Sus scrofa: one gene and its partner. The protein of the gene in region 1 interacts with the protein of each later gene in a pairwise test. Links are inferred from orthologs where the notes say so. Each region holds a gene or a part of one and is shown in the gene's direction. Other genes may lie near its edges.

What was found.
Region 2: the proteins of RBM41 (region 1) and RALYL interact in binary tests that used the Homo sapiens proteins (3 or more experiments, as listed by UniProt). The two-hybrid records come from large-scale screens. The link is inferred for Sus scrofa from reciprocal best matches to the Homo sapiens genes RBM41 and RALYL.

Annotation. Positions count from the first base shown.
Region 1 is NC_010461.5:87,563,720-87,578,856, reverse strand, and holds the start of RBM41 (RNA-binding protein 41), read left to right. Parts: upstream 1-3,738; 5' UTR 3,739-3,818; coding exon 3,819-3,826; intron 3,827-7,314; coding exon 7,315-7,431; intron 7,432-8,276; coding exon 8,277-8,469; intron 8,470-8,680; coding exon 8,681-8,885; intron 8,886-10,763; coding exon 10,764-10,835; intron 10,836-15,137. UniProt on the Homo sapiens protein: May bind RNA.
Region 2 is NC_010446.5:52,549,597-52,565,313, reverse strand, and holds the start of RALYL (RNA-binding Raly-like protein), read left to right. Parts: upstream 1-5,654; 5' UTR 5,655-6,113; exon of another isoform or gene 6,114-6,968; intron 6,969-7,194; exon of another isoform or gene 7,195-7,295; intron 7,296-7,318; exon of another isoform or gene 7,319-7,544; intron 7,545-15,717.

The DNA of each region.
Region 1 (15,137 bases):
ACTTGGTTTTAGTGTATGATTTATGGTTGTGGATTTTGTGTATTTGTTTGTTTATTCGCTTCTTAAGAAAAAGCCTTGTTCTTAGCTTGGGAACAACTTGATCTCTTGTGTTTCATGCTTTACTGAAGTCATAAATAAAGGCGATGCCCTGAAAAATGAAAGTATAACACTAAAATAAACTCCTTAAAAGTTGTTGAGTGACGAGAGCTTAGTTACCCATAATTACTGAGCTGAATTTCTTTTGTACTGACTGATCATGACCATCCTTAGGGGTACATATTACAGAAAGAAAATATTTTAGAAATGAGTATCAGTGATTTATATCACTTTACAAGTGAACCAAATATCAGAACTTACATGGCCCCTGTTTTTCCTACCCACACTTCTCAAAGTAGCAGCTTCTAATCAGGTAAGTTATTGTTACCTCTTAAAATTATAAAATATGAGACTGTTTAATTTTATGGGTGATTTCTGTAGGTAAACAGCTTTTGAATATAATCTTGAGTAATCTCTAATTTTGAATCCAGTATTACTACTATTATAACCCAGACAAAAACATTTTCCCTATTGTGTCTGGAGATTCAACTCTTGTAGTCTCTGCACACATTAAGTTCCACATTCAGTAAAAAGAACATAGTATGTAGGAGGAAACACTGGATTTATTCTTGTCCCTGCTTAATTAACGGGACAAATAATTTCATTTGGAGCCTTATCTTTTGCCCATAACATGAAAGAGTTGGACCATATTAAGGTTTTCCCAAGTAGAAGAAACTAGTTTTCATTTCTCTGAAGTTTTGTGATTCCTTTGTCTTTTCACTACCAGTACATGCTTAAAGTTCCTCAGTAAAATAAAGAAAGAAAAGACTATTGACTTTGCATTGGAAGTTCTAGTGTTGTTTTTTTTTTCCCCCCAGGCCATAGAAGAGACAGGTGGATGGCAAGTGGCTTCCAGATCGGTACGGTAACATTGTAGGTTTCCTGGGAGCTCTCACTGTACTATTTGGAATCTGGAGCCCTGGACTAACTTGTCTTTAAAGTTCATTCTCACTCTGGTCCTAACGTGTGTCCAAAAGACATTGTTGAACAAATACGAATTAAAATATCAGAAATAATAACCTTTTCTTACCAGTAATTTTAAGGCAACCTTTATGTTAGGGACTGGAGTCTTGACTAACCATTGTCGAAGACCAGCTAAGATAGTAGCTGAAGGAAAATTCTTAAATGTGTCGTGCTGACACTTCTGCAGTGCTTATCTACTTTTTTTGTCCTTTGAAAAAGATGCTATATTTATTCTCCCTATAACAGCATTTATGCTATCTCATTTGGGGAATTTGAAAGACATGCACAGTTGTTTACTCTTAATATTTCCTGAGTGATGCTATCCGTCTTCAAGAGACGATTTTTGGTTTTCGCATCTTCTTTCATATCTGGAAATTATAATTGCTTCATAATGTATTCATCAGAAGTGTGCTGTGAACAAAGCACCTAAAAAGGACAAAGCCTGAAAATATGTCTATGTTAAGGAGGAACTTCTGGCTTAATTAAGCTAACCTTGTTAAATTGTCAGAAAGACAAATGAGGCATATTTTTCAGTTTGTCATAAATTCTTCTGGGGTGAAATTGTGAAATTACCTTGTGGTAAGATCTCTGTGCCCATGAATAACATCTAGAAATCGCAAAGCTTTTTATATACCGTCTGACATCCTTTTGAAGTGGAGAGAGGGATGCTGTGGGAAGCGGAATAACTATTCCACAGTTAATAAATTTGGCAGAGCTAGAAATAACCTGGTTTTCCTTCTAGTGCAATTTTCTGAATTCTTGTCCCTTGGTACCTACCACTCAGACTGGCTACAGTTATACACAGGTTTAGAGTACTTCCTTATGACCTTGCTTTTTAGTTGTAATTCTACCCCATATATGTATTTTTAGCCATTCATTCTCCACTCATCCCACCTAGTGGATTTGTAATGTAGTGTGTATCACCTCAGTACCAATAAGATGTATTTTTAGAAGTTGTATACAAGTCTGGTGTGGGGGTCAGTGTAGTATTTGTTTCACCCTTTGACACCTTCCCAGGGGACAGGCACACCAGCAACCTTGCTGTATTTTTCCATTTCCTTGTTGACCAATGTGTCAATTGGACAGTTTGGTTGAGCAGCAGAATCCAGCCCCACCACCATATAGGATTTACCTGGTATGACCCACACTTTGTTTTTGCTTACATTCGTCCCTGTTCTGCACCAAAGCCACAAAGTGGTACGTATTAGAGCTGCATCCATTCATCTGTGTGCTTCAAGAGCAGTTATTTTCATATGACAGGTTTTGAAAAACTAATATTTTCCATGACATTCTCGTCTGTTAGAAATTCTCGGCATAGGAAGTACAATGTCTTCCAGCAGCTGCTCTTTGGTCTTATCCTCTTAATTTGTGTGCTGTAGTACAGTCAGTTTTAATAAAGCTAAACCTACTGGATAAACTTGGAATATTTGCTCATAGATGACCACCCTTCAAAGTGATTTTAAAACCATTCTTTTGTGTGGTGCTTTATAAGCACCCTATTCTGAGGAATTATCCCCATTTTACAGTTGAAGAAACTGGCCTAGACCAGTTAAAGAAACTTAATGACATAATCTTGTAACTTGCCAAAGCTAAAGTTCAAGTCCAGATTGCCTACGGTTATTGTCAATAATTGTGGGAACTGAGAATCCAAGCTGTGACCCCCTCAAACCCATGATCTTTTTCTTCTTTGGCTCTTCGTGATATAACAAAGGTTCTCTTTAACAAAATATTAATTAGGTAATATAATCATGTAGTTCAAATTTCAAAGGATACTAGAAGATAGAGTGAAAAGTTTTTCCCATTCTTACCCCTCACCATCCAGTTCCTCTACCTGGAGTCATTTACTTACCACTTGTCAATATGTTTTCCAAGAGATATTGTATATATAAGCAAACACATGAATAAATTCCGTTTTTTTTTGTCTTTTGTCTTTTTTAAGGGCGCACTCGTGGCATATGGAGGTTCCGAGGCTAGGGGTCGAATTGGATCTGTAGCTGCCGGCCTATGCCAGAGCATCAGCAATGCCAGATCCGAGCTGCATCTGTGATCTACACTACAGCTCATGGCAATGCCAGATCCTTAACCCACTGAGTGAGGCCAGGGATCCAACCTGCAACCTCATGGTTCCTAGTCGGATTCGTTTCCACTGTGCCACTACGGGAACGTCCATAAATTCCTTTTTAAAAAAACTCAAATGGAAGCATCCTATATGCATTGTTCTGTACTTGGTTTTTGCACTAAATACATTTTAGAGATTGTGCAGTAGCAGTCCATGGAGAACTTTGTCATCTGTGGGACTGCTGCGTAGTTTTCTGTTCAATGGATGTATAATATTCCTGGTTATTTAAGTTTGCAATATTCTATTAGAAACAATGTTGTTGTGACTAATTTGGCGCGCGCACACAGCCACAGTCACATACCCACACCTTGAAAGCAGAGGCAAGATTAATAGGAACACATTCGAGGGAAGTTAGAGGGGCCAGGATTTGGTGATACTGGATGAGAATCAAGAAGTCAAAGGCGACTCCTAGATTTATAAGCTGGATATTTTGGTTGTTGCATTTATCCTACATGAGAAATTCTAGAATACACCAGTTGCTCAATGCTCAATACATCCTCATTCGCTTATTAGCGCTGCAGACTACAATTCCCAGAGTCCCGCGCTCCACCACAATCCCCTTGGAGTCGGCCGCGCAGATTTCTGGGACTTGAAGTCCGCGGCCTATTTACCCAAGTTAGAGCTAGGGGCCTGTGGAAACATGAAGAGGTAAGGGCTTGTCTGAGAGCTGGAGGTGAAGGGCGCTCTGTTCTACCTTTTAACTTTTCAAATGGCTTTGTTACTTTGGGTTTGGGGTATGTCACATTATGGGGAAGGGGTTTCGAGTGAGCGGGAAGACAAAGGAGGAGGGAAAAGGGGAGATGGGCTGGACGGGCCTGTGGGGCGAAGTTCAGGAAGGGCCGCCGCTGCCTCCGGTCCCCGTAGGGATGCCCTCCCGGTACAGGAGCCTAGGCCACGGCGCCGGCCCCGGGAGCTGGACAGATGCTGTGGCTTCTTCCCGTTTCAGAGGGACCCACCGAGGTAAAAGGGTCTTGCCTGACTGATGAAACTGGTCAGCGCCTGAGAAACATGGGCCGACCCCTCCCTGTCCCGCCCTACCTCCACCCCATCCTCAGAGAGGGGCTCAGGGCGCATTTGTTTGCAGTGTTTGTGTGTTAAAGAGAACTTGCTCGGGCTCGGAGAGCATGTAGCGCTTTCAGATCTTAAAGTAAGCAAGTGGTACTTTGTTTCTACAAATTTAGAAGCAAAGTATCAAACCCGTTCCATGTACTATCGGAAAAGAAAAGCATTGTTGCGAGCAGTTCCCCCTACCGGTTCTGCAGGAAATGGCAGCTTTAACGTGGCTGGTCATTGTTGAAAGCCTGAGCTTACTATTGACCTACACAAAGCCTTTTTAAAGGATCCTCCTTAAATTAGTTTTGTATTCACTCTGCAAGTAGAATAATCACTCTGGAGTAGGGTGGTACATTTAAATTCTTACCGGTATAGTGATTTCCTGCACTGTCAGTTTCAGCATCTTTTTAAAAAAATTCTGATTATCCTTGCATTTCAAAATGACGTTTTTAAACGTTTATGATATACTCATACATGCAAAATAATGTGTATATACAGGTTGTTAAATAAGAATAGGCTTGTACCCGTTAAAAGCTTTAGAAATAGAACATTATCAGTATCATGTATCATAGATACTGTGTCAACTGATACAGCAGTATGATTGATACAGTATCCTTGGCACACTGTCAGTATCAGGAGTCCCCAGGGTGCCTGCCCCTGAGTGTTTTTCTTCCCTCACTGAGGAGAATCGCTATCTAGTATTTCGTGTTAATTATCTCCTTGCTTTTTTCTTTTTAAATAGATTTACTACATATGAATTTATATCTGAACAAAATGCTGCTAGTGGTATTCAATTTTCGACTCTATTTAGACAAATAATTGTATGAGTTTTTCTGTGACGATTTTTTTTTTCACTCATCATTTCTTTTTGAAATTCATGTGTACTGATGTATTTAGCTCTGGTTTATTCATTTCAAAGGCACTTTAAACTAGCAAAAACTTTCAGAATTCTAAATAATAAGTAAAAATTAAGATAATTAAAAGGAATTTTGAAAACCCTAAGCCTATGGTTATTTAAAAATTTCCCAAAGTGGGTATAAGTCTTTCTAGAATATGGGAATCTTGCTTATACATCTTCTAGGGCTCATCATAACCCCAACAGTAAATGGCTATTTTTTAAGGAAGATTAATATTTATTTTTCCTCAAGGAGTTAACTCATTTTATTTTTGTCTTTTATAATCTGTTGTTGCACACCTAAATGGCCTTGCTACTTCTTTTCTTTTCTTTTCCTTTTTTTTTTTTTTTTTTTTGTCTTTTTAGGGCCATGCCCACGGCATATGGAGCTTCCCAGGCTAGGATTGGGAACTGTAGCTGCTGTCCTCTGCCACAGCCACAGCAATGCAGGATCCAAGCCATGTCTGCAGCCTACACCACAGCTCACGGCAACGCTGGATCCTTTACCCACTGAGGGAGGCCAGGGATCAAACCTATGTCCTCATGGATGCTGGTCAGATTCGTTTCCACTGAGCCATGATGGGAATTCCCTCCTGCTATTTCTTTACACTCAGAGTGTTTAATTATTTAGGGTTTGCTAGATCTAATTAGCATTTCCTAGATTTCCACACAGTAATGCTTAAGCTATAAAATGTTATGAGCCCCCTCACTTTTATTTCTCTACTCTCTCCTTTGGTGATCTCCTCTCTCACAATTCCAGATCCTGGCAGCACAGATGACTCAAGATTTCCATGTGCAGCCTCGACTCTCATCTATGCAATAATTGTCGTATGTCTGTTTCCTTTAGCCAGTGTCACATACTGTCACCTCAGACTCAGTTGAAGCATTCCTGATATTTCATGCTGGTCTTGTAATAGATAGTTAACTCAACACGGCTAAAACATCTCTCAGTTGTATAGCTTAAAATTCGGGGTTATCTTTCATTTCTCCCTTACCTCCACCTTCAAAAGGCCTTTCTCATCTAAACCTTCCTTTCCATTTCTACTATCACCACTCCAGTTTGGACTTTTATCACCTTATGCTTGATAAATTTAAATAGTTTCCTAACTAGTTCTTCTGGTTTCTTTCTTACTAATCTATAAGGCGTATTATAACCACATTCATATTCCTAAACTATCACTTGTACCACGTCACTTAACTGCATAATAAATTACTTCTAATACTGCACATTAAGGTCCAGGCCTCTTAGATGGTGTGTGTTTAAGGCCATTCACAGTCTGAGTCTAATTACCCTCCCAGCATCATCTGGCATTGCCCCCTTACATGAATGCCAGCTAAATTGAGCTTCTCATTATCTGCCCCAGAACATATTTCTGTCCCTCCATACTCACTCTCCCCATTCCCTCCTTCATCACACCCAATCCTTCAAATGCCAGGGTTAAGAATTACCTTTCCCAAGTTTTCATTTACTATGTTGCCTCCCAATAATCTCTTTCTTCTGTGAACGCCTACTGATTTGGCATATGCTTCTTTATATCTTCTTTCTCCTTCTCCCTCTGTCCCTCTGTCTAGCCCTGTTCTTTTCCCTCTCCTTCCTCCTCCTCTCTCTCCCTCCCTCTCTGCCCTCCCCCACATGCACACAACACAAACATTTCTATTACCTCTCCCTGAATAAATTACAAGTTTCTTGAGGATAGGGCCTATGTCTTGAATATCTTTGACTCCATCAGTACCTAGCAAAGGGCATTCACTGCCTGCAGGTTGTTTAGCTAATGTTTGTGGAATGAATAATAAAAAACAACAAATAGAAAAGTGTTGGGAGTTCCAGTCGTGGTGCAGTGGAAACAAATCTGACTAATATCCATGGGGATGCAGGTTCAATCCCTTGCCTTCCTCAGTGGGTCAGCAATCTGGCGTTGCCATGAGCTGTGGTATAGGTTGCAGACGTGGCTCAGATCCCCCATTGCTGTGGCTGTGGTGTAGGCTGGCAGCTGCAGCTCTGATTTGACCCCTAGCCTCGGAACTTCTGTGTGCCGCGGGTACGACCCTAAAAAGCAAAAAAGAAAAAGAAAAAAAGTGTCTTTGAACAAATGAGATCCCTACTAATGGTAGATAATATAGATAAAGAATGTATTTTGAGATTTACTGTCTCTTCTATTTTCCATGTATATTGTTATATCTACCCCAGGGTCAATAGCTGTGTGAAGAGCGACGAGCATGTCCTGGAGGAGCTGGAAACAGAAGGGGAGAGGCAGCTGAAAAGCCTCCTTCAGCATCAACTTGATACCTCTGTCTCCATCGAGGAGTAAGTATTGATTTTGCAAACAGGTAGAGTATCACAGACCCTCACCTGCAGGTGACAGATGCCTCATAAAGCCTGGATGGAACACTCCTCTCTCACCTCCCTTTTCTTGGCAAACTTTTTTTTTTTTTTTGTCTTTTTGCCTTTTTCTAGGGCCACTCCCACGGCACATGGAAGTTCCCAGGCTAGGGGTCTAATCCGAGCTGTAGCCACCAGCTTACACCACAGCCACAGCAATGCAGGATCCGAGCCACATCTGTGACCTACACCACAGCTCACAGCAACGCTGGATCCTTAACCCGCTGAGCAAGGGCAGGGATCGAACCTGCAACCTTATGATTCCTAGTTGGATTCATTAACCACTGTGCCACGAAGGGAACTCCTTGGAAAACTTCTTATTAGGCAGAGTTTTACTTCTGTGTCTTCCTCTAGGAAGCCTCCCATATCCCACTCAGTCTGGGCTAAGTACCTTTCCTGCATCTTCCTTTAACATACATAGCTCTTATAATCCCGTATCATCCCTGTTTAGTTGTCTCTCTTCCACAGTTCTTCCACAAAAACAGAAAGCGTTTATCTTTTTTTTACTGTTAAATCTTCTGTACCTAGCACAGTGTCTAAAGCATAGTAGGTTCTCAATAAGTAAATGTTTGATTCAGTCGTTTGTTAGTCCCAGAGCAGAGGGACTGTTAAGGGAGTTTCACACCGTTGCAGTAGTGCTTCAGCCTAGAAATAGAACGTGAGGGAGAAATTGCTGCTGGGTTTCATTTGTTCCTCTTAATGGGGAGCCCCATTTCGGTGAATCGTGGTAACTTGAAGATGTTCTTACTCTCTTCCTGCTTGTTTTGCAGATGCGTATCTAAGAAGGAGAGCTTTGCTCCTGGTACTATGTACAAACCCTTTGGAAAGGAAGCAGCTGGGACTATGACTTTGTCCCAGTTCCAGACTCTGCATGAGAAGGACCAAGAGACTGCTTCTCTCAGGGAACTAGGACTCAATGAAACAGAAATCTTGATCTGGAAGAGCCATGTTTCAGGTGAAAAGGTGAGTGGGCCAGTTTTTTCCTGGAGACTAAAACCTGAGATCTCTTCATTTGGTACCAAGAACCTTTTCCTCTGCTCCTTGACTTCTTCACTAACATGTCTAAATGGCCGTTTCTGGGCCCTGGTCATTTTCTTTCTTGTTTACAGTATCAGATCTTCACTTTCAGGGTGTGTCTGATGTGATATATGCCATCTCATTTCTCTGCTTTCAGAGGACAAAACTTAGGGCAACCCCTGAAGCAATACAGAACCGTCTGCAAGACATTGAAGAAAGGATCTCAGAACGTCAGCGCATCCTTTGCCTGCCACAGAGATTTGCAAAAAGCAAACAGCTGACCCGGCGAGAAATGGAAATAGAAAATTCTTTATTTCAGGGAGCTGATCGTCACTCCTTCCTCAAGGCTCTTTATTACCAAGGTATGTGGTCGCCACTGACTCAATACGTCCTTTCACTGACAGAAAGATTTAACATCAGGGCATTAACTGTGAAGAGTTAGCGAAGCGAGTAGGGGAAAGACAAACGATCACTACTCTTGAGGAATGTATAGTCCAGTGAGAAAGACAAATATATACATAGTTGCAGTACAGCATGGAAATTGCTCTTGTAGAGATGTGGCTAAAATGCTGAGGGGACAGAGGATGTAGAACATTTAAGTCTGGTTGAGGGAGTCAGGAGTTGACATTTGTACCAAGTCTTGACAGACCAACAGGCATTGTCAGGTAAATAAGGGGGAGAGGGCATCCCCGATAGTGGGCGAGTAGGAACAGGAGTGTGAATGAACCTGGTGTGTCTAGGGAACAACGTACAGTTCAGTGTGGTGGGAAGTATAGGACCTGGTGAGGACTGACAGGTGATAATACTGGAAAAGCAGGCGAGGCTAGATTGTGAAGGCTGAACTAGAAATGAGCACAAAAAATATAGATAAATGGTGTGTGTCTCATCCGGAAAGAATGAGTTTAACAGACAAGTTTTGCTAGGCACTGTGAAAGGTGTGCAGAAGTTTAAGAAATGGCTCCTGACTCTGTGCCAATCGCTGTCTTGTTGGCGAGAGAAACATATAACATTTAATGACAATGCTAGATCCAGTTGCTAAATGCTGTAGGAGTTCAGAGGAAGGAAAGGCCACTGTGCATTGGCATGACTGAAGATGGCCTCTCAGAGGAGGTAAGATTTGAATATTCTTTGAATACTACCAAGTCTGCAGAAAGGAGAGGGAAAGGCAATTCACTTGTAGCAGATGTTGCAAGCACTGTGGCATGTTTGAAGGTGTCAAGAGAAACAAGATTAGAAGAGGGGCTAAAAATTTTGAACTTTATTTTGGCAGGTAGTCTAGTATAGACCGATACCGAGTTAGTTATTCAGTTAGTCGTTTTGGATATGGTTAAAGGTCTTTGCGCCACAGGAGTAAATAAGATGAAAACAGTATTTGAAAATGATTAGTTTAGTGGCCAGTAAAGAGGATGCACAAGAGGAACTGAAAGCAGGGAGAAAGATGTAGGAGGTGTCACGGTCATTTCGGCAGGAAGAGCTGGACTAGGATGATGGCAATGGAATTGGAAAGAGAAGTGGGTATGGTTATAGGAGACATTACAAAAGAAGAATTGGTAAAACCTGTGGTCTGAGAATGAAGGTCAGTGGAGAGGAATGTTTCAGAGATAATAACCCAGGTGTTTCAAGGCTGTATGACCTAACAGTTGGCAAAATTAAGAAAGACTTTATGAGGAACTTTGGAGGAAAGATGATGAATTTGATTTTAAACATGTTGAATTTGGGAGACTGGCAGGATCATCAGATGCAGATATTGAGGAGGCTGTTGGAAAGGCAGTAGTGAAGCTTGGGAGAGAGGGCAGAACTAATAGAATTGGGACTCATCTGTGCTCAGACAATAGGTAAAGCCAACAGAATGAATGAATGACTCTAATGAGAGACAGAGACATCATAGTCATGGAAGAGCAGTGGTGAAGGAAGAACCAAAAGAATGAACCCACAGCCTTTGGTGGAGAGACGTTATGGCATACTGATTAAGAACCTGGGCTCTTGAGGCAGATTCCTGGGAACATCCTGGCTCCCCACTTACTAGCTCTAAGATGTAGGGCAAGTTACCACTGTACACTTGATTTTCTTCATCTGGAAAATGAGAATATTAATAGCTGTATTATAGGATTGCTAGGAGGATTCAGAGAGGTAATACATGTAAATCACTTAAAGCAGTAGCTGGTGTTTGGGGTGGGTGGGTGGTGTGTGAATCTGTTGTGTTTCCTGTCTTTGAAACTCCTTGCTTTAAACCTTCACAGCATACCACAAAAAGACAAGTGCAGACAAGTACATGACCTCAATGAAGAGGAAGATAAAATTAGGCACAAAAGGCAAGTCGAGAGTTTTCTTACAGTGTTAGATTTAGGAATGTAACCTAGGGTCCCAGACTTCTAAGTTGAGTTCTTATTTGATTCCATATTCAGTATATGACAATGTTTATAGGACCTGATCCACAGGGAGCATATTATCCTGATACAGAATATGAAAGAGAGGAGTTAGTAGAAGTTGTAAAGCTTTTACATTTAGTGTTGTCGATTTTTCTCGCTATACCTTTAAGTTATTATACCAGACCTAAAGTGACCTAAATGAATTTTAGATCCTATTTCATAACTAACTCTGAATATTTTTGTTAGTCAGTAAAATATAACTATTGATGATGATGCTATAATAGCTGATATTTTAGTTTTGAAATGAACTTATAATAAAATTGCCTGTTTTGGGGGGGGAGGGGGTGTGTACAATTCTGTGAATTGTAAATCGTGTAAATCACGTAGATTCATGTAACCACCACCACAATCAGGATAGAGAACAGCTCCATCACCCTAAAACTCCCTCATACTCTCCATTGATAGTCACCCCGCCTCCACCCATAATCTCTGGCAATCACTGATCTACTCTCCATAACTGTGGTTTTGTCTTTTAGAGAATGTCATATAAATGGAATCATACAATACGTAATCTTTTGAGAGTAGCTTCTTTCATTCAGCACAACGCCTTTGAGATTCATCCAAGTTGTTTCTATCAGTAGTCCATTCATTTTGCTGAGTAGCATTCCATTGTATGGATGTTCCAAAGTTTGTCTGTCCATTCACCCATTCAGGTGCATTTGGGCTGTTTCCAGGTTATGGTGATTATGAATAATACTGATATGAATATTCTTGTACAGGCTTTGTGTGAACATAAAATTTTTATTTCTCTAAGGTAAATATCTAGGAGTGGGATTACTGGGTCATATGGTAAGTGTTTGTTTAACTTTATCAGAAACTGCCAAACCATTTTCCAGAGTGGCTGAACCATTTTGCATTCTCACCAGCAATGTATGAGAGTTCCAGTTGCTCTACATCTTTGTCAGCATTTGGTATTGTTGGTATTTATTTTAGTTATTCTAATAGCTGTGAAGTGGTATTTCATTGTAGTTTTAATTTGCATTTCTTTAATGGCTAATGATATTGAACATCTTCTCATATGCTTATGTGCCATCCTTATATCCTGTTTGCTGAAGTGTCTGTTCAAATCTTTTGCTGTTTTTTGAGTTGTTATTTTCTCCTGATGACTTTTGAGAGTTCTTTATATATTCTAAACACGGTTCTGTTGGATATATGATTTGCAAGTATGCAGTTTATCTTTTCAACAGTGTCTTTTGCAGAGCAAACTTGTTTTATTGTGGTGAATTATACCTAACATGAAATTGACCCTTATAACTATTTTTAAGTGTCCTGTTCTCTGTAGCATTAAGTATACTCACATTGTTCTGCAACCATCACCATCATCCATCTCCAGAACTTTTTCATCTTCCCAAACTGAAACTCTGTACTTATTAAACACGAATTCCCCATTCTCCCCTCCCCTCATCTCCTGCCGACCACCATTCATTCTGCTTTCTCTCTTTATGAATTTGACAACTCTATATATCTCATGTAAGTGGAATCATATAGTATTTGTTCTTTTGTGTCTGGCTTATTTCACCTAGCATAATGTCTTCAAGGTCATCCATGTTGTAGAATGTGTCAGAATTACTCTAAGGATAAAGAATATTCCATTGTATTTATCTGCCACATTGTGTTTATCCATTCATCTGTCAATAGACCCTTGTGTTGCTTCTACCTTTTAGCTATTGTGAATAATGCTGCTATGAACCTGGGTGTATAACTATCTGTTTGAGTTCCTGCTTTCAGTTCTTTAGAATATATACCCAGAAGTGGAATTGCTGAATCGTATGGTAATTCTACGTTTAATCTTTTGAGGAACCTCCATACTGCTTTCTGCAGCGGCTATACCATTTTAGATTCATACCAGCAAGGTACAAGGGTGTCTCAATCTTTTGCCCATTTTTTTAAATGGGTTGTTTATTTGTTGTTGAGTTGTAGGAGTTCTTTATATATTTCTGGATATTAACCCCTTATCAGATATATGATTCATAAATATTTTCTCCAGTCCTATGGGTTGCCTTCTTACTCTACTGATAGTGTCCTTTGATGCACAACAGTTTTTATTTTTTTTAATTTTTTATTTTAATTTTTTGATGCACATATTTTTTATTAAAGTATGGTTGATTTACAAAAAAAGTTTTTATTTTTGATAAAGTCCAATTTTTCAATTTTTTTGTTCCCTGTGCTTTAGGTGTTATTCTAATAAGTCATTGCCAAATCTAATGTCATAATGCTTTTTTTCCTATGTTATCTTTGGAGAGTTTTATAGTTTTAGTTCTTATGTTTAGGTCTCTGATCCATTTTGAGTTAAGTTCGTATGTAATATAAAGTAAGGGTCCAGCTTCATTTTTTGCATGTCGGTACCCAGTTTTTGCAGTACTACTTATTGAAAAGACTGCCTTTTCCCATTGAATGGTCTTAGCACACTCTGAAAATCATTTGGCTATAAAAGTATATTTCCAGGCTCTCCATTCTATTCTGTTGGTATATATGTCTGTCTTTATGCCAGTACCACACTGTTTTAACTAGTATAGATTTGTAGTAACTTTTGAAATCAGAAAGTATGAGACCTCCAACTTTGTTCTTATTTTTCAAGATTGTTTTCACCGTTTGGGTCCCCTGAGATTCCATATGAATTTTAGGATGGATTTTTCTATTTCTGCAAAACACATCATTGGGATTTTGAAAGGACTGCTTTGAATCTGTAGGTCACTTGGGATAGTACTGACATCTTAATGATATTAAGTCTTCAATCCATGAGCATAGAATATCTTTGCATTTATTTGTGTCTTTAATGTCTTTCAGCAACATTCTGTAGTTTTAATTGTACAGTTTTTTTCTTTCAGAGCAAATATTTTAAATTTTGATATGATCTAAATCCATATTTTCTTTTATGGATTTTTTTTTTTGGTCTAAGAGCTCTAACACCAGATTATGAAAAAAGATTGATTCCCTTATTTTCTTCTAACAGTTTTATAGTTGTATGTTTTACATTTAGCTCTATGATCCATTTTGACTTAATGTTTACATAAGGTATGAGGTTTACATCAAGGTTCACTTTTTTAACTATTGAGTATTATTATTCTGGTGTGAATTGCTAAAAAGAGTATTCATTCTCCATTTACTTGCCTTTGCTTTTTTTTTTTTTTTTTTTTTTTTTGGTTTTTAGGGCTTTACCCACAGCATACGGAGGTTCCCAGGCTAGGGGTCAAATAGGAACTGCAGCTGCCAATGCCACAGTCACAGTAACACAGATCCGAGCTGCATCTGTGACCTACACCACAGCTCTCGGCAATGCCGATCCTTAACCCATTGAGCAAGGCCAGGGATCGATCCCACATGTGACCTACACCACAGCTCGTGGCAATGCCAGATCCTTAACCCATTGAGCAAGGCCAGGGATCGATCCCACAACTTCATGGTTACTAGTTGGATTCATTTCTGCTGCACCACAATGGGAACTCCTGACTTTGCATTTTGTCAGAAATGAATTGGCCATGTGTTTGTGTTAATAATTAACATCATAATTATTGGTGAACAATTGAAATCTTCCTCCCAATACCAGGAATAAGAGAAGAATGTCCACTCTCGCCATTTCTATTCACTGGGGCATGACATTTAGGAAATTTACAAATTATGTGGGAATTGTAAAACTTTACTGAATATTCCAAAGGACCAAAAAGAAGTCAGAAGGGTTGTTAGAAAGTATTTTGAGGAGTTCCCGTTGTGGCTCAGTGGTTAACGAATCTGACTAGGAACCATGAGGTTGCAGGTTCGGTCCCTGGCCTTGCTCAGTGGGTTAACGATCCGGCGTTGCTGTGAGCTGTAGTGTAGGTTGCAGATGCGGTTCGGATCTGGCATTGCTGTGGCTCTGACGTAGGCTGGCGGCTACAGCTCTGATTGGACCCCTAGCCTAGGAACCTCCATATACTGCAGGAGCGGGCCGTAGCACAGGCAAAAAAAAGACAAAAAAAAAAAAAAAAAAGAAAGAAAGTATTTTGAGATGAATGAAAACAAAACATACCAAAACTTAAGGAACGCAGTAGAGGCAGTACTTAGGGAGCCTATTTAAAGCTGTAAATGTCCATATTGATAAAGAAGAAAAATCTCAAAACTTATAACCCAAACTCCCACTTTAAGAAACGATAAAAATTTGTCCAAACTCATAGAATGTCAAGAGTAAATGGTAATGTAAACTATAGA
Region 2 (15,717 bases), on another chromosome or scaffold:
TAGATTTCATGGAAATTAAAAGTGGCAGGAACCCAAGACTTAATAATAACCAATTAATCTCATGCCTTCATCTCCTGAATGCTATAGTACTTAAACCAACAGCAAATGAATAACCCCTACCTCAAAAAAAAGTTCAGAAGTTAAATGAATATTGAAACTTAAAATCCAGATAATCTTTAAGCCCAAGGTTTTAAAAATTGAAACAAGTAAACAAAGATTTAAAAAATCAACAGGAGAATCATAACTATAATTATACAATTATATCAGTGTGAATAAAGGAGCTACATTGTGCCTCTGAATTTAAGATCTTGTGAATAGACAGTAAAAAGATCTTTTTTTCTTCTGGTACATCCGCAAGATTCTTCTCCTTAGGCAAAATTAATTTCCCAATGAAACCATACTGTCTTCTGTTGACATTCTGGGTCAGATGATAAGCAAATCTCTTGACTTTTAAACACAAAAAAAGCTAGCTCTCTCTGGTTTTCTCTCTCTCTATTAAAAAAAAAAAATGTTACTTCTTCTGGTACAGAGTTTTGTTAGCCTCAGCAAGATTGTTTTCTGGATATTTCAGGCAATATTTTGTTTCACCGAAGAAACGTATTGTAAAGTCTGCAATATTTTTCTAATGTATTTTTTTTTTTTTTGTCGCATGTCTTTTAGGACTCATCTGTGTGACCCAAATCTGTCCAGTGTTTGCATTTGTCTTACATTTCTCATGTATATGGTGGGAGTTTTCCAGGTTCCCCATCCATGCTCTGGGTCTCAAAATTTACCCCCCTTTTTTCCTCCCCCTGTCTTTGCTTCCTTTCTTCCTTCTTTTCTATTCGTCTCTCTCCCCATCCCTTTTTCTCCTCTGTATTCTCTTCCCCTGCTGCCCTCCACCCATAGTCATAATCTCAATTTCTTTTCTGTAGTGATAGCACTTTGTCATTAAATTTACTTTTCCCTTTGCATGATCTTTGGATAGCTCCCTAAATATGAAAGCACTTCTGTTCCATTTTTCACTGTCCCTGAGCAGAGTCTTTTAGAATCTCAATTTCTAATTATGAGGATTTTATGACAATGCATATGTCAAGCTACTAAAACATAGTAAGCAGTTATTAAATGGTGCATCTTTTCCATTTATGATGTTTCTTACTTGCATTTTGTTTTGTTTTGCAAAAGTCCCCTTCTTTTTTTGTTCCTTTCAGGCTCTTTGTATGCTTATACTAATAAAAGGTTTATTATATATAATGTAGTATATATGATATATGATGTATACTACATATTACGTACTTATTATATATTATATATAATGTATTATGTATAATACAATAAAATATTTTAAAATTAACTTAATATTTTTAGCCTTTAATAACCTTTTCAGAGGCCTAATTCTGGCTCTAGGATTTTCACATTTTCATCTCTAACTTTTCAAATCTAAAGAGATATTGTGGATAAATTTGCAGTTTCTAAATTTATAAACTGACATATTTTATATCCTCTTAAGAGTGAGTGATTGTCAGATCAGTAATCAATGAATTATAACAAATGGTGCAGAACACTGAACATGTCATGTGCTGCTCTTTTTCCTCTCTGTGCCTAAGTGTATTAATCAGGCAACTCATCAGGGCTTTCTTGTGTATACACTCTGTCACTTTTGCTGGAGGTCACTTTATCGTAGATCTACACTCAAACTACTTAATGCAGAATAAACACATTCAATGTAAGAATATTAATTGACATTAATTTATTTTAAATTATTATGTAAATAATTATGAATGTATATAAATCACGACACTTTGATATGTATTTTATTCTATAGATCTGAATTTTTTGGATTCCATAATATATGTGAAGAATGAAACAAACATTAAAAATTGTTACACAGAAATTTTTTTTAACCTTTTATTATTTTTTTTCTACTGTACAGCATGGTGACCCAGTTACACATACCTGTATGCATTCTTTTTCCTCACATTACATGTTCCATTGTAAGTGACGAGATAGTTTCCAGTGCTACACAGCAGGATCCCATTGCTAAACCATCGAGAAGGCAAGAGTCTGCATCTATTAACCCCACACTCCCGGTCCATCCCACTCCCTTCCCTTCTCCCTTGGTAACCACAAATATTCTCCAATTCCATGACTTTCTTTTCTTACACAGAAATTTTGATAGTTCTTTCTTCTCTATTTTACTCAGGCCATATTCTATTGTTACTATATATTTTCCTATCTTTTAATCACTTTCTTTGATAACTTGTATAAATTACTTGATGAGTTTAGGTATATGCAGTTCCTCCAATAGAAGTATAGGCAAAATGAAGGATATCATTCAAATTTGAATGAGACGCATAAGTGAATACGTTCTTGGGCAGGAATTGGATATATAATGAAAAAGTAAAAGTACTCAAAGATTAAAATTACTCAGATGTGAAAAAATTTATTAAGCAAAAAAAAGGAGAAAATGATTTGAGGGCATTGAACAGTTAAAGTGTGAATTGCAACCATGGTATTGTAATGTATAATTTCTAAGTGTGTATTTATATGTAAGATATATGTATGCACATATAATTTATGTAAGTTCAATATTTTCTAATGGGAAAACATTGAGATTATGTAGCACAGATTTCAAAATAGATTTTTCTTTAATAATTACTTATTTATCTTACCTTAAACTTAGTATACATTTTAGTATATATTTCAATCATGAATCTTCCATAGTTTACTTCAGGAAGGATAGCAGGAGTTCCCTTCATGGCTCATCGGTTAATGAACCGAACCAGTATCCATGAGGTTGTGGGTTGGATCCCTGGTTCTTGCTCAGTGGGCTAAGGATCCCATGTCACTGTGAGCTGTGGTGTAGGTCGTAGATACGGCTCAGATCCCACATTGCTGTGGCTGTGGCCTAGGCCAGGGGCTACAGCTCCAATTGAATCCTAGCCTGAGAACCTCCATGTGCTGCTGGTGAGGCTCTAAAAGATCAAGAAAAAAAAAAAAAAAGAGAAAGGATATCAAAGGGCACAGTTCACAATTGTAATTTTGCTTTAAAAAGCCTACAGTTAACCCCTAAGGATGTGACCAGGGAGTACTTGACCACATTTTTCTGTAAAGATTTTTGTTAAAGAAAAAATTAACCCCTTCATTCCTGCTTTTGAAGTTTTGTGTCCTACTCCAAGTGTTTTATGAAATCAAAAAATAAATGAAAATGTATACTACTAACTGGGGAATATATAGCCACAAATTTATTTTAGATCTACTTACTTAATTTACACTATTGTGCATTTATTAATTGGCATCAGTAGCAATATTTGAAAATATTTAGTATCTTTCATGTATTTTTAGGAAGGTTCTTTTATTCTAGCTATAAAACCAGATAAAATTTTGGTCCAGTCCCACCTCTAATTCTAACAGTGTAAAGCTTGACAAATTACTTAAATCCTTTGGCTTTATTTTCCTAATCTGTAAAATGAGTATAAGAGTATCAGTTTCATAGAACAGCAACAAGAACTAAATGAGAGGCTATGCTCAATAAATACTACTTCTCTTGGTCTAACTTTGTTTACTTTTGGTTTTCACCTTGTTGATGGAACTGAAAAGATGAAAATGGCATATTGGAAATAAAATAAATGGAATAACTTGAGCACCTTATTGTAATTACATAAATAAATGAGGAAAGGCAGGCAGGATATTGATGTCTTGCTTGTTCTTTAGCAGAACTGCATTTTACATAAAGGGGAGTCATTTTATTGAATAATAAAAGCTTGACAATCACTGTGATTGGCTGACAGCCATTACTGCAGTGTAATTCTAAACAGCTTGTTTTTCAAAATTCTTCCTGAATAACTCTTTAAAACCTAGGCATTGCCCAGTCTACATGAAGGGTTCAAAACTTACTTTTAAAGTGGAGTTTCTTACATTTGACTACTGCTGTAAAAATAACATTCACTAAAGGAATATTTCCTTACTAAATGATTAGAATCATGTATTTTTTAACTTGGGAAAAAAATTTTGGAAAAATTAGCAAACATCTTTTAATGGAAAAAAAAAATTCATGACTCAGAGAAGAAAAAGACCATATTTGGAGAGATCTAATTTTTTTTTTTAAAGACACCCAATGTATTTTACAAGTGAAAGCACAACATATGATTTACATTATCCAGTTTAAAATCCTGTCATTTTGGAATAGAGCTCAACAAGCCTTCTAAAATTACCAAATCCCCTTTGATGCATTCATCCCTTTCAGTATTTCTAATTAGCAACCCTCACTTTAAAGTACGTGTAATAAGTGGGTGTAGAGTTGGCAACTCACCAAAATAAATATTTAATCTTTTAATGGTTATTTTAAATCTTTTATTTAAATTGTGGATTAATACTTTATTTGGTCAATGAATTCTGACCAGAATGCTTGAGAAACATCTTTGCTGTTGAAGCTCTCTGTAATGGATGTGTACTTAATTTTCAGAAATGTCCAGGTGAGATCATCTCCGACGGAGGCGTTTTATCGTAAATGTCAACATTGGAAACACTGAGATAACGATCAGGGGCAGCAATCTGTGAACTGCAGAACTGTGTTAATTGCTCATTCTCAAACACAGAGATGCCAATTAATTCCACACAACCCAGATTCAAAGCAGCAGAGGGAAATGGTCCTGATACTAGTATTGCACAAAAATGAAGAATAGATATTTTCCAGCGCCCAGAAAACTGATACTTGAACAGGCAGCAAAAGAAGAATCCCACTGCATCCAGTGATTGGCTTATGGAATCTTTGTTCAGGCGATAGGCATCCCAAACCAGATGCCAGGTGGAGAAATTCCTCTCACCCTCACCTTCAGAATCCACAGCTAAGCCACCTGGGCTCCCGCGGGCTGCGCCGCCGCCTCACTCCCGGTGCACGTCTCCCCCTCTCGACCGCTAGGTGCTCACTCCCTCCCAGGGAGCACTTACACAATGGACTGACTTGCTTCCCTTGCACCTCTCTTTTGACTTCCAGCCCCAGCCCATAACTTGGGCAAGAGTCAGTCAGGAGCCTCTGCAAGGGAGCAGGGACCCGCGGAGTCTTCCAGAGGAGCTTGGAAGCACGCGCGCACACGCGGACAAAACAAACAATGCCTGGTCCACCAATGAATAAATTAACGACCCCCACGCCCCCACCCATCGCTCTGCAACCCGAAGAAAGAAACCCGGGACGGGGTTGCATAAATGAGAGATGTTTCGCCTTTCAAACTGCAAGCATTCCTGTCTGATGACAGCAAGAAATGCTGTGAATTCTGTTGGCAGTAAAGATTGACAGTGGCTTCGCCGGTGACAACGCCCCCCGTAGCGCGCTGAGCCAGGTTCCCTGAGAACCGAGAGGGGGAAGCGCAGGTGTTGGGGGAGGGAACGGCAGAGGCCAAGGCAGTTTAAGAGGGATGAGAAATGGGAAATTTGGAGGAAAAATGAATGAGTTCAACCGGGCTTTAACAGTGAAACTTCAGGAAAGAAAGGGATGGGATCTCTCCCCAGGTAACTACCCCGAGATGAAAAATAGATGAATGCATAAGGAAGTGGCCAACAACAACAAGTTTGAGGTGAGCAGCAAGTTGTTCACCTCCTCCCAGGCGTTTGATCAGCATCCCCCCAGCTGCCCCAGAACACGCGCTCCGCATCGGAGGCGGCGGCCGCTGTAGAAGCAGCAGCAGCATCAGCAACAGCAGCAGTACCAGCGGCAGCTGCGCGCCTCCGGCCCAGCCCTGCTCGGCTCCCCCTCTCGCCGGCGCCCTGCCTGTCTTGCGTGTGCGTGTGCGTGTGCTCAGCCTCAGCGTGAGGGGCACCTGCTCGTCTAGGCTCTCAGTAGAGGCAGCCTCGCCCGGAGCTGCCGCTGCTTGCCGCCTCTGGTGCTGCCGCTCACAGGCGCTTGAGCTCCCCGTTGCCGCCGCCGTCGCCTTGCCAGCCTGAGTTGGGCTCCGTGGGGCTTCCCCCCTCGCAGCCTCGGTCCTTCCCCGCTGCCGGCAAGTCAGCTTTGCTCCGAGTCACGTGTCAGTGCCTGAGGCAGAGACTGAGAGAAAAAAACGCGCTTCATTCCTTCTTCCACCGCCATACTGTATTTTATCCTAAATCTCATTTTTATTCCAACATTTTACTCCCGCTCGGTGAGTACCTTCTCAGTGGCATTCTTGTCCTCTTCTTCTTCTTTTTTTTTGTCCTTTTTTTGTTTTTGTTTTTTTGTTTTTTTTCTTCTTTTTTTTCCACTTCTTTGATTATTGTTTATATTTGGGAAAGCTGGAGGAGCATGGTTTTGAGCCTTTTCCTGAATCCAAGTTTTTATAGCATGCGATGGTTCTGTAGACAAGGCGCTGTGTCTGGGAGTCGCGGCGACCGTGCCCGCTGGGAGCGACTCCCAAGTCCAGCAAAATATGCAACTGGTTTTAAGGAAAAAGCGATGTGAAGTATGGTGCCTATTTTTTTTTCCTTTGTAAAAAATAAAAAGCATGTTTCTAACTCTTTTTTTGGCATACTCTTTTTCTGATAAGATTTTTTTGTATAGGTGGGATTTTACGGCAGTGTTTACAAGTTTGTGGTTTTGCAATACTGGTACCTGGTACAAACCACTGAGCAAATACATTAATTTTCTATTTTTTGTGCCCTTTTTGGAAGCCGGTGAGAACAAATTGGTTTTTTTTACCTCCTGTTTTTGCTACCCATTGATAACATGAAACTTTTCTTGCAGCTGGTGCCTGGGATGATTTTTAAGCAAATACTTTTTTCCTCCTTTAAATTAACTGTGACTTTTGCACATCTGACTTTTTTTAAAAGACCGAGATAATTTTATGATAGATATCCTGATATCTATATTATCCCTTCTTCCTCCCCCTCCCCTCCCCGTAAATCAATTTTCAAATGATGGCAGTGGAAGGTTTTTCTGGAAAAAAAAAAAAATGAAGTGCGGTTTGGTTTCCTTGTCAACGGAGGATGAAGTGAACAGCTGAGCAGCTCGCAGAGAGCAGGTACTTGGTCCCCTTGGAGGCGTTTCCCGGGTTTGCAATGGCAACACTGGTCTTGGCAAAGAAATCTGTGTGTGTGTGCGCGTGTGTGTGTTTTTGTGTGTTTATGCGCGTGTGTGCGCGCGCGCGGCTCGGGCAGGGTCCGAGCCCGCGGTGGGGAAAACCGTGAGGGGAGCTAGGGGAAACCAAAGTCCGTCCCCGGCCTGGGGCTGGTTTTTGTATGTGCGCAAAATACTGTCCCTCCCTCGGCTGCGCCCTGGTCATCTCCGCAGCGGGCGGCGTCTGCGCCCCGGGCGGCGCCGGCCGGGGACACAGGAGCCGGCGGGCCCTGTAAGTTCTCCGAGGGCCACTTGAAGAGCAGAAGGGGTGAGGGCCAAGGACGCTGCGCGAGCCGGCTGGGGCGGCCCATCGGAGCGCCGGGGAGACTGTGGGAGAAGCGGCAGGGGCAGTTCTTCCGAAGGGGCTGGGTCCTAGCCAGGGGACCCGGGGTGCTTGAGACCTTTCCAGATCCCTGAGGATGGCACCAACCCCCGCACGCTCAACTCCCGCTCCTCTTCTTTGCCTTGAGTAAACAACGCAGTAGGTCTTTGCCAGCCTGTTTTTCTTGTTCGGAAGGGTTTCGCCTTTTTAATGGTGCTGTCTTTGGATCTTTTCTTTCCCTTTTGTGTTGCTTTGGTTTTAAGTGCCTGGCGTCTTCCAGGGTGGGGGAAGATATCTACTTTCTGTGATGGTCAGTTGGATTTAATGTTGAGGACAAAACAGTTTGCATTGGTGAGACTACATCCGTAAGGTTGAGCATTAAAAGCACGATGTGTTTTCCCTCTTTTTAACCACCTGATGGTGGTTACAAAGCTTTTCCCCTGAGACGTGGCACAGGACAGGGGTAGGAGTTGGTGACGGTGGTGATAGATTTCAGTGTGTTGGTAGCATAACATAGTACTCAATGTTGAATGCTTTCTATGGAGTTTAAGACATTTTATGATTGTCCTGTTACATTTCCAGTATAATCTGGTACTACTTTTTGAAGGTAAATAAAATAATCTGGTACTACTTTTTGGTAGTAAAAAGCCATTTATGTACTTAACGCAGTGAAAATCTGCTGGCAAACTTGCTGTCCAAATAAATTTTGTGTTGTACTTTAAATCTTAAGTCTGGAGGCAGTTATTTAAATGATTTGATTCTGAAGCTTTGTGTAATTTGAATTCTGTTAAATAAGGCAGGTGAAATAACTTTTACTTCTCAGATTAAGTTTTCTTCTAGGTTATGTATAGACATAAAACACTAAATTCAACATAGAGAAGGGCCCATGACAAACATTTTAATAATATACAGTGTCTTTTTCAAGCAAATATTTGTCTGTAAGCTCAGTTTGTGAAGTTTTATGTCTGTGTTTCTTTACTCTTTGTGGGGAGAGAGGGAGTGCAAGTGATAATTAATCTGTAGAAGATTAAAATTTATTGCAATATCTAGAAGGCTATATATATTTTTTAATTCACAGTATTCTCTCTCATTTCAGAGGTCTTTGGAAGTAGCAGTGTGATTTACTTTCCTGCTCAGGGTAGCTTTTATCTGTTAAGAAAGTCCTGTTGCATTTATGTCAGGAAGATAGTTTCTGTCCTGTGTGTGGATCACCAGACTTGATATCCTGAAGGGCATGGTTCTAAGATTTGATGCATATATTATGTAACTAAGCTTTAAATTTTGTTTTTTTTGTTGTGGTGGTGGTAAGCACTCTAGTAAAATGTAGTCTTTCGTATGGTTTAAACAGCTAGCAAAAACATTTAAGAAGCCACTTGCAACATTCTGTGAGTTTTTAAAAATCACTGTTAGAAAATAATGTATATAAATAGAAATGCTCATTTATTTAAAAACGCAAGACAATACACGTCTAATATTTCTTTGAAGGATGTATGCACTGTAAGTCCTTTAGTTCTTTTAAAAGAGAGAAACACAGTGAGTGAGAAAGAAACCAGAATTTTCATTAACAGGCTCTCTTGCGGCCCTAAAATGGGCGTAGCTGTGTGTTAAGACTGGTTGGTAAGAGCACAGATGGTACTGTATATTTCCAAGTGGGCTTGAAACCATAGTGGGGTGGAAGAAGATGTCCACAGGATTTCAAGTGGGAGCAGATATGTAGCTGCACATTAAATTTTGTAAACAAAGATCATGCTGAAAACCTTTAATTATATTAGGTTTCCATTTAATGTTGATCATTATATTACATACTTCTGTTAAATTTCTATCTGCTGCAATGGAACTTTGAAATTTTCTCCTGCTCAAATTATATTGAGAATTCTACAGCTCTTTAAATTGGTCACCTATTCTGTGAGTGTTTTGGTTTAAAATCTTTGAAAGTAGTATCCTAGAGTTAGCACCGCCTACTGGTTTATCATGGGAAAATAGTATTGTTAAATTCTACAAGCCACCTACTCTGATTTTGATAAACTTAATCATGCAGATTACTTTTAATTGCTTACTGAGAGGAAATAAAATCTGCTGGGAAAGAGGGTTTGGAGTGAAGGTAGAAGCTGAAGGAAAGAAGACATGTAAATTAAATTGGTTCCTAGACTGTTAGTTGATTTTATAATCTGAATGTAATGAGGAAGTAGTCTCAAATTTAAAACAGCCTATTAAATTTACTGCAGCTTTTCAATGGGATGCCAAAATTTGGACATTTTGAAAAATCCTGGATTACTGATTAATTGTACATTTTCTGTCCCAGTCTTGAACATGGTAGAGAAAGAAAATCTTAGCTGGAGTTCTGTCTTGAGTGTGTGGTCTGTTCAAGAATTTTTAAATGAAGAAATTTTAATCATGAAAAATAAACATTTGATTATTTCATATATTTATCCACACATGATTATTAGCAAGCAAGTAGCACACTGATTTTTTTTCTTAGTCTGCATCAAGCAGCCATTCTGTGATGGGTTATACATAAAGGGGAGAAGTTTCAAACACGTACCTATAAAGGCACTTTTTATATTCTTAACTACAAATGATATATTATCCTTTCAAAAAAACCCAATAGTTTATTTTCTTTAATTTTTATGAAATGGTAATGGTTAAAGGAGCTACCACATTTATGCAACCCAATGATGCCATTAGGATTTGAAAATAATGGAATAGAAAATTAATGCACATACATTTGATATACCAAAAATTATATTTTCCTAGTTAGAAGATACTTGTGCTATTTGGACAATTGTTTCTTAAATAAAATAGTTTTTCTTTTTTTAAAGCAGCTAGTAAGAAGTATGTGGAAAAGCTCCTATGTCTGTTGCATTCTTGAAAGCATTTGATTTGAGTAAGAGTGTGGTCATGCTTTGGTTACTGTTTACTGATATTGTAAGTAGTCAATTAGGCAATATATCAAGTCAAATAAAACTACATTGGAAGTAGAACAGAAGTGAAGTGGATGTTTAGAATTGTTTGCATAATTAAATGGGTTTTGAAAATATTTTCATTAAAATTGATTTATTCTCTCTGACTTTTGAAAATTTTATTTTTAAGTAATTAGCTGTGACTTTAAAAAATACAGCTATTTTCTTCACTTCTTTTATCACATAGCCATTAAGAAAATTCCGTTTTGTGTATAAAAACCTGAGGTAATGATGAAATTTCTTCTTCAAGTTGTTTATGTAGCTCTGGAAAGAAATTAAAACCTAAATTAAAAAAATTCCTCACTGGTCTGAAGTTGTTATTAATTTCTAATTATTTCATTGTTATTATTATGATTTTCTACTTCTAGTGACATGCAAAAATGCATTTATAATCCCATATTCATAATTCAGTATGACTTTTTAATTTAATAAATTTCAGTAATTCACAGTGGCAACAAACTTTCACATTAGTGACGGTGAGGACAGTTAGTTTTGCTATACCCTGGTTTTGAAAACACTGATTATTAAGTAAAATTTAAGTAATAGTCTCATTTCTAAAGTTACCAAAAACTAGTTACACATTTAGCAAGTGTTATATAAATATTTGCCATCACTTTTCTTTTTTTTACTATTACATTTTGACGTGTGGAATACATATATCTAACCCAGCTATTGCCAACTTTTAGTAATTTTGCTTATTCAGGTAGCATTTTAGATTTTCAAGAAAATATTGGGGAATTTTTTTTGTTGCATGTTAGACTTATGTTTAATAGCAAACTTACATTGTGCAAAGTTGATTTTAAATTTTTAAATTCTCCCATAAATTTAAAGGTTTTTTAATTTATGTATTAATGCAGTTATTTTGAGACTGCGTTCTAGAAAACAGAGAGGTATCGATTTCCTTTTTCTATCCATTCTTAGCCACAGAGAGGGCAGTGGGAGAACTTCAGTTAGTGTTTAGGATAAATGTCTTCTGGACTGTCCTTGGAGACTCCTCAGCTGGGGTCAGGACTGTGAGATTTATTTCTTGAGCCTCTCCATTAAATCTAAATGGAGAGGAGAATTATAGTGGAGATCACGGGAACCCTATCCTGCTTTTCTGAAAGATGCAATGGAATGCATCGCTGTGCACCTTCGTACTAAAGAAAAACTAGAGATTTTTTTGTGTATTAATATGTTTCATGAAATTACAGTTGACTCATCGATAAAGAGTATATATATATTTTTTGCTTAGATAATATAGTTGGACATTTTGTCTAAACTTTAACAGTGGAAATTAATTACATTCATACATAATCCATGTGTTTAGAGAAAATATTTATACACATTTTGGTAGCCATATGCTAAATTGTAACAGAGCAACATATTTTTGAGTTAGTTTGGAAACTGTTCACAAGCAGGAGTAGGGAAAGTCTATTTTTGTCCCATTAAATCATTAGGAAAAGGAAAGGAAAGTAGGACTTAACATTTATTGATGTGTCAGATGAATGCACTTTCATTTGTCCTTCCCCTCCATAAGTAGTTGATATCATTATGATTTTATATTTTAGGGGAATCTGAGACTTGGAGAGATCTGTAATTTGTCAAGGCTCCGCAGGTAGTAAAGGGACAAATGATAGGCATATCTGAATTGACACTTCATGTCCCTCTTTCCATTCATGGAGCTGAAATTTTATTTGTTTTCTTTTACCTAGTATAAAACAACCACTGTGTATTTATTCTTGGTATGTTATTTAAAATGACTGTATTTTGGCAAGTTTTTTTTACTATTGAGTGCTATGGCCAGAACAGAAAATGGTATCATTTACCTACTTACTGGTGCTAAAAGGGCCTGCAAGTAACCATATTATCACACATCTCTCCTGGACCATAGGCTTCTCTGAAGAGACCCAATACATGGAAATTTGTGAGGGGCCACCAGTGCTTTGTGGTCAGGGCAAAACAGATGGTTCTTTGTCCACAGTGGGTTTGCAGAGGCTGTGGGAAAAGCACTCAACAAATATTTACTTCTTACAAAATGTGATGTCTACTCTTGAAGCCTTTGCAAAAGTGTGATGTGGAAAATAATCCAGTTGCACAAAGAAAGCTGAATACCTAATTCCTTCATAACACAGCAAATCTATAAATATAGGTGTCTCTTCTGTCTACCAGCATCTCACTATCAGCATTATCCCTTCCTCAGAATTTCACTGTTACGTATATTGAGATGTGACATTTTTCCGGCTCATTTTTATCTGTTAATGACAGAAAACACATAGAACTACAATATGTTATATTAGGATGCTGTTTTTAATTGCATCTTCAGATGTGTGGAAAAAGGTATTCCATTATTAGTTTCCTTAGAACTTGAAAAAATGAATATTTTTCAATAAAGACTGATAAAATATAGTAGAGGCAGTGTGAATAAACATGATGAAATGGATTTCAACGATGATGATAAATCTATGAGTCCATAAAATAATTTGATTTGGAGGCCAAGGTGGAGAGACTATTAAGAGCTCTTTTGGAATTTTGAAAATCAAGGCTATGAAACAAAACAAGAGGACATAAAAATATCCAGAAGAGGGCCTGGTTTGGTTGGGTGAGGGAGAGTGGTTCAGTTTTGGACATACCACTAATTTGAAGTCCCAACATTAACCTGGATGAAATGACCAATGTGCAATTGAAATTCAGGTGTAGAGCTGGAAAGCACACTGAAGGGCTTAAAAAGATGTAACAAAATTATTTATGTTAAAAACTTAGGAGGCAGGAGTTCCTGTCATGGTGCAGCAGAAAAGAATCTGACTGGGAACCATGAGGTTTCGAGTTTGATCCCTGGCTTCGCTCAGTGGGTTAAGGATCCAGCTTTGCCATGAGCTGTGGTGTAGGTTGCAGACACGGCTGATATCTGGCATTGCTGTGGCTCTGGTGTAGGCCGGCGGCTACAGCTCCGATTAGACCCCTAGCCTGGGAACTTCCATATGCCATGGGTGCGGCTCTAAAAAAGACAAAGAGACAGAAAAAAAAAAAAAATTAAGAGGCAAACCTTTGAAAAACACCTGCATTTTTCTGATTGGATATAAAAGGATCTAGTTAAAGGCAGACAGAAAAAGGAAGATAGTCAGCGGAGCCTGGGAAAGTGTATGCCTGAGAGAAGAGTGTTGCTCAACAAGTCTAATACTTCATAGACTTGAAGGAAGGAGACTCCTGAGAAAAAAGTCCTTGAATTTGTGATTAAAATCCATTAATCTTAAGAGGAAACTAAATGAATGAGACATATTAGACTTGAAACTGAAGACGTACTCCATGATTCTGGACATGGTATGATCACATCATAAAGAAGTCAGTTTCCAAGACTGTATGTACCACATCCCTGTGCGTGTGTGCATGTGCACGTGCTCATGCATGCTTGTGTACCTGTAACATAATCTAAATAGCAAGACCAGTAAGATGTTTTTCTGAAATAAGGTAAATTGATTTTAAGTTACCTCTAGAGGATAAAAAAGAATATCTAGGAAAAATTAGAAAAGGAAGGACAAAGAGTGAGCTAAGCCATCAGGTATTAACATATACTGTATATCTTTTAAAAATGTATTTATCAGCTCTCTCTTTAAAAGGCTTCCATGCAGTGTCTTTCTAGCAGCAATGAGCACATTTATTGCTTAAGTCATGGTTTCTAAATACCATATTCCACTCAAGGGGACCAAACTCTCTGGAGAATTTGCTGATTCTAAGTCTGGGCAGGAAAAAATATAAGATGAGCCTGTGATCTCTCATTGTGCCAGGAAGTGAAAAATTGCCCCCAGACAAATAAGGTTGTATAAACTTTATTTGTAAACTGTAACTAAATGGGAGCTAGCTTCAAGGGCCTCCCAGGTGCCAAATTCAGATAAATTTGAACATCCATGGTTGTTGTTTTGCACCCTCAGGTGAAATTTCAAACTGGTCTCTATACAGGCAGGGCCAGGAGAGAACAGAAAAAGAAGCAGACTACTTCAGCTTGGTACTTGTCAATTTTAATAATCAAGGCAACTTATATACAAGTCTTGTCTTAGGCAGCTGTAAGACCAGCAGGTTTCTGTAATCACCCACTGAAATCATATAAAGTTTATTCAGGTTTCCCCTGCTGTCTGAAAATGGAGTGTTCCTGTGAAACCTTTCATAAGACAAAATGACGTAAAGTGAAGAAGCAATGACCTAGGACATATCTTGTTAACAGACGCACAAAATAATTCAAGATAAATCACAGATGCTCACAGACACAGTTAAAGGTATGGAGGCTTTGTGCTGAGATGCTGAGTGTAGGTTCCAGGAAGGAGCTTGGTAGTGCCACTCCTGATGCTCTAGTGAGTGCTGCCTCTGAAAGGCTTGATGCAAAATAATGAATGCTGTTTTCACTTCTTGCTTTTATTCATAAAACGGAAATCCTCTTTGGATTTCTTTCAATTAGTGAAAGCAGGTAGTACTGTAGGTCTTTAGTAACAGCGAGGAGGAGGATCCCTGTATAGAGGCCTTAATGGGATTCAGTCACATATCCAATCCAGATGCTCTCAATAAGGCATGGTTCTCTCAAGGCTGAGTCTTGGAAGTGGCTGAATATATATTCCAGGTAGGAATCCTCTGATTGTCTGGGTTTAGCTTGAATTTCAACCAGTGGTCACCTTCTTTCACTGCCCTACTCCAGCAAGATTGACTGTAACAGATGGTCAAACATTGAATAAAGTAATTTTTATAAGTCCATAGTAATACTCTGAATAAAAAATATTAATGAAAGAAAATGGTTCTGGCAATACTTAAATTGAAAGAAATGGTTAGCCTGCCTTTTAGGAGGAACTCTGGTGTAGTTGATGAAGGACAGCTCTTCTTTACAAAACTTATAAGTTAGTAAATGTAGGAAATGCTAGAATGAGAAAATCATTGTAACTTCCTTTGAAATACACGTTTCAGGTGAAGATCATCCAAAGATGCTAGTAACACCATTAGTTACAAACATCTTGGGGAGTAATCTGTTCCTCTGGTGCTCAAGGATTACTTCTTAATTGCGTTTGGTGTTTGCCTTCTTAAATAGTTGAGTGATCAAACCTGGAATCAGTAACAGGCAACCTGATGCCATGAGCCTCTTGATGCAGTGTGGAGTCTCCAGCACCAACCACTTGTGAAATATTGTTGCAGAATATTTAAGCTGAACCTAAAATCCGTTTAGGCTTAACTTCTAATTTACAGAAAAATACAGAGAAAGTGGAACCTGTTAAACTGAACCACGAGGAGGTAATGATATGTATTCACAGGGTTTACGATTCTTCATGGAAGATACCAGACATGTGGCCTCTTCAAAAGTTATTGCCACTGAGGGGAGACTTTTCTAGATTAAAAAAGACTAAAGACAACCAAAT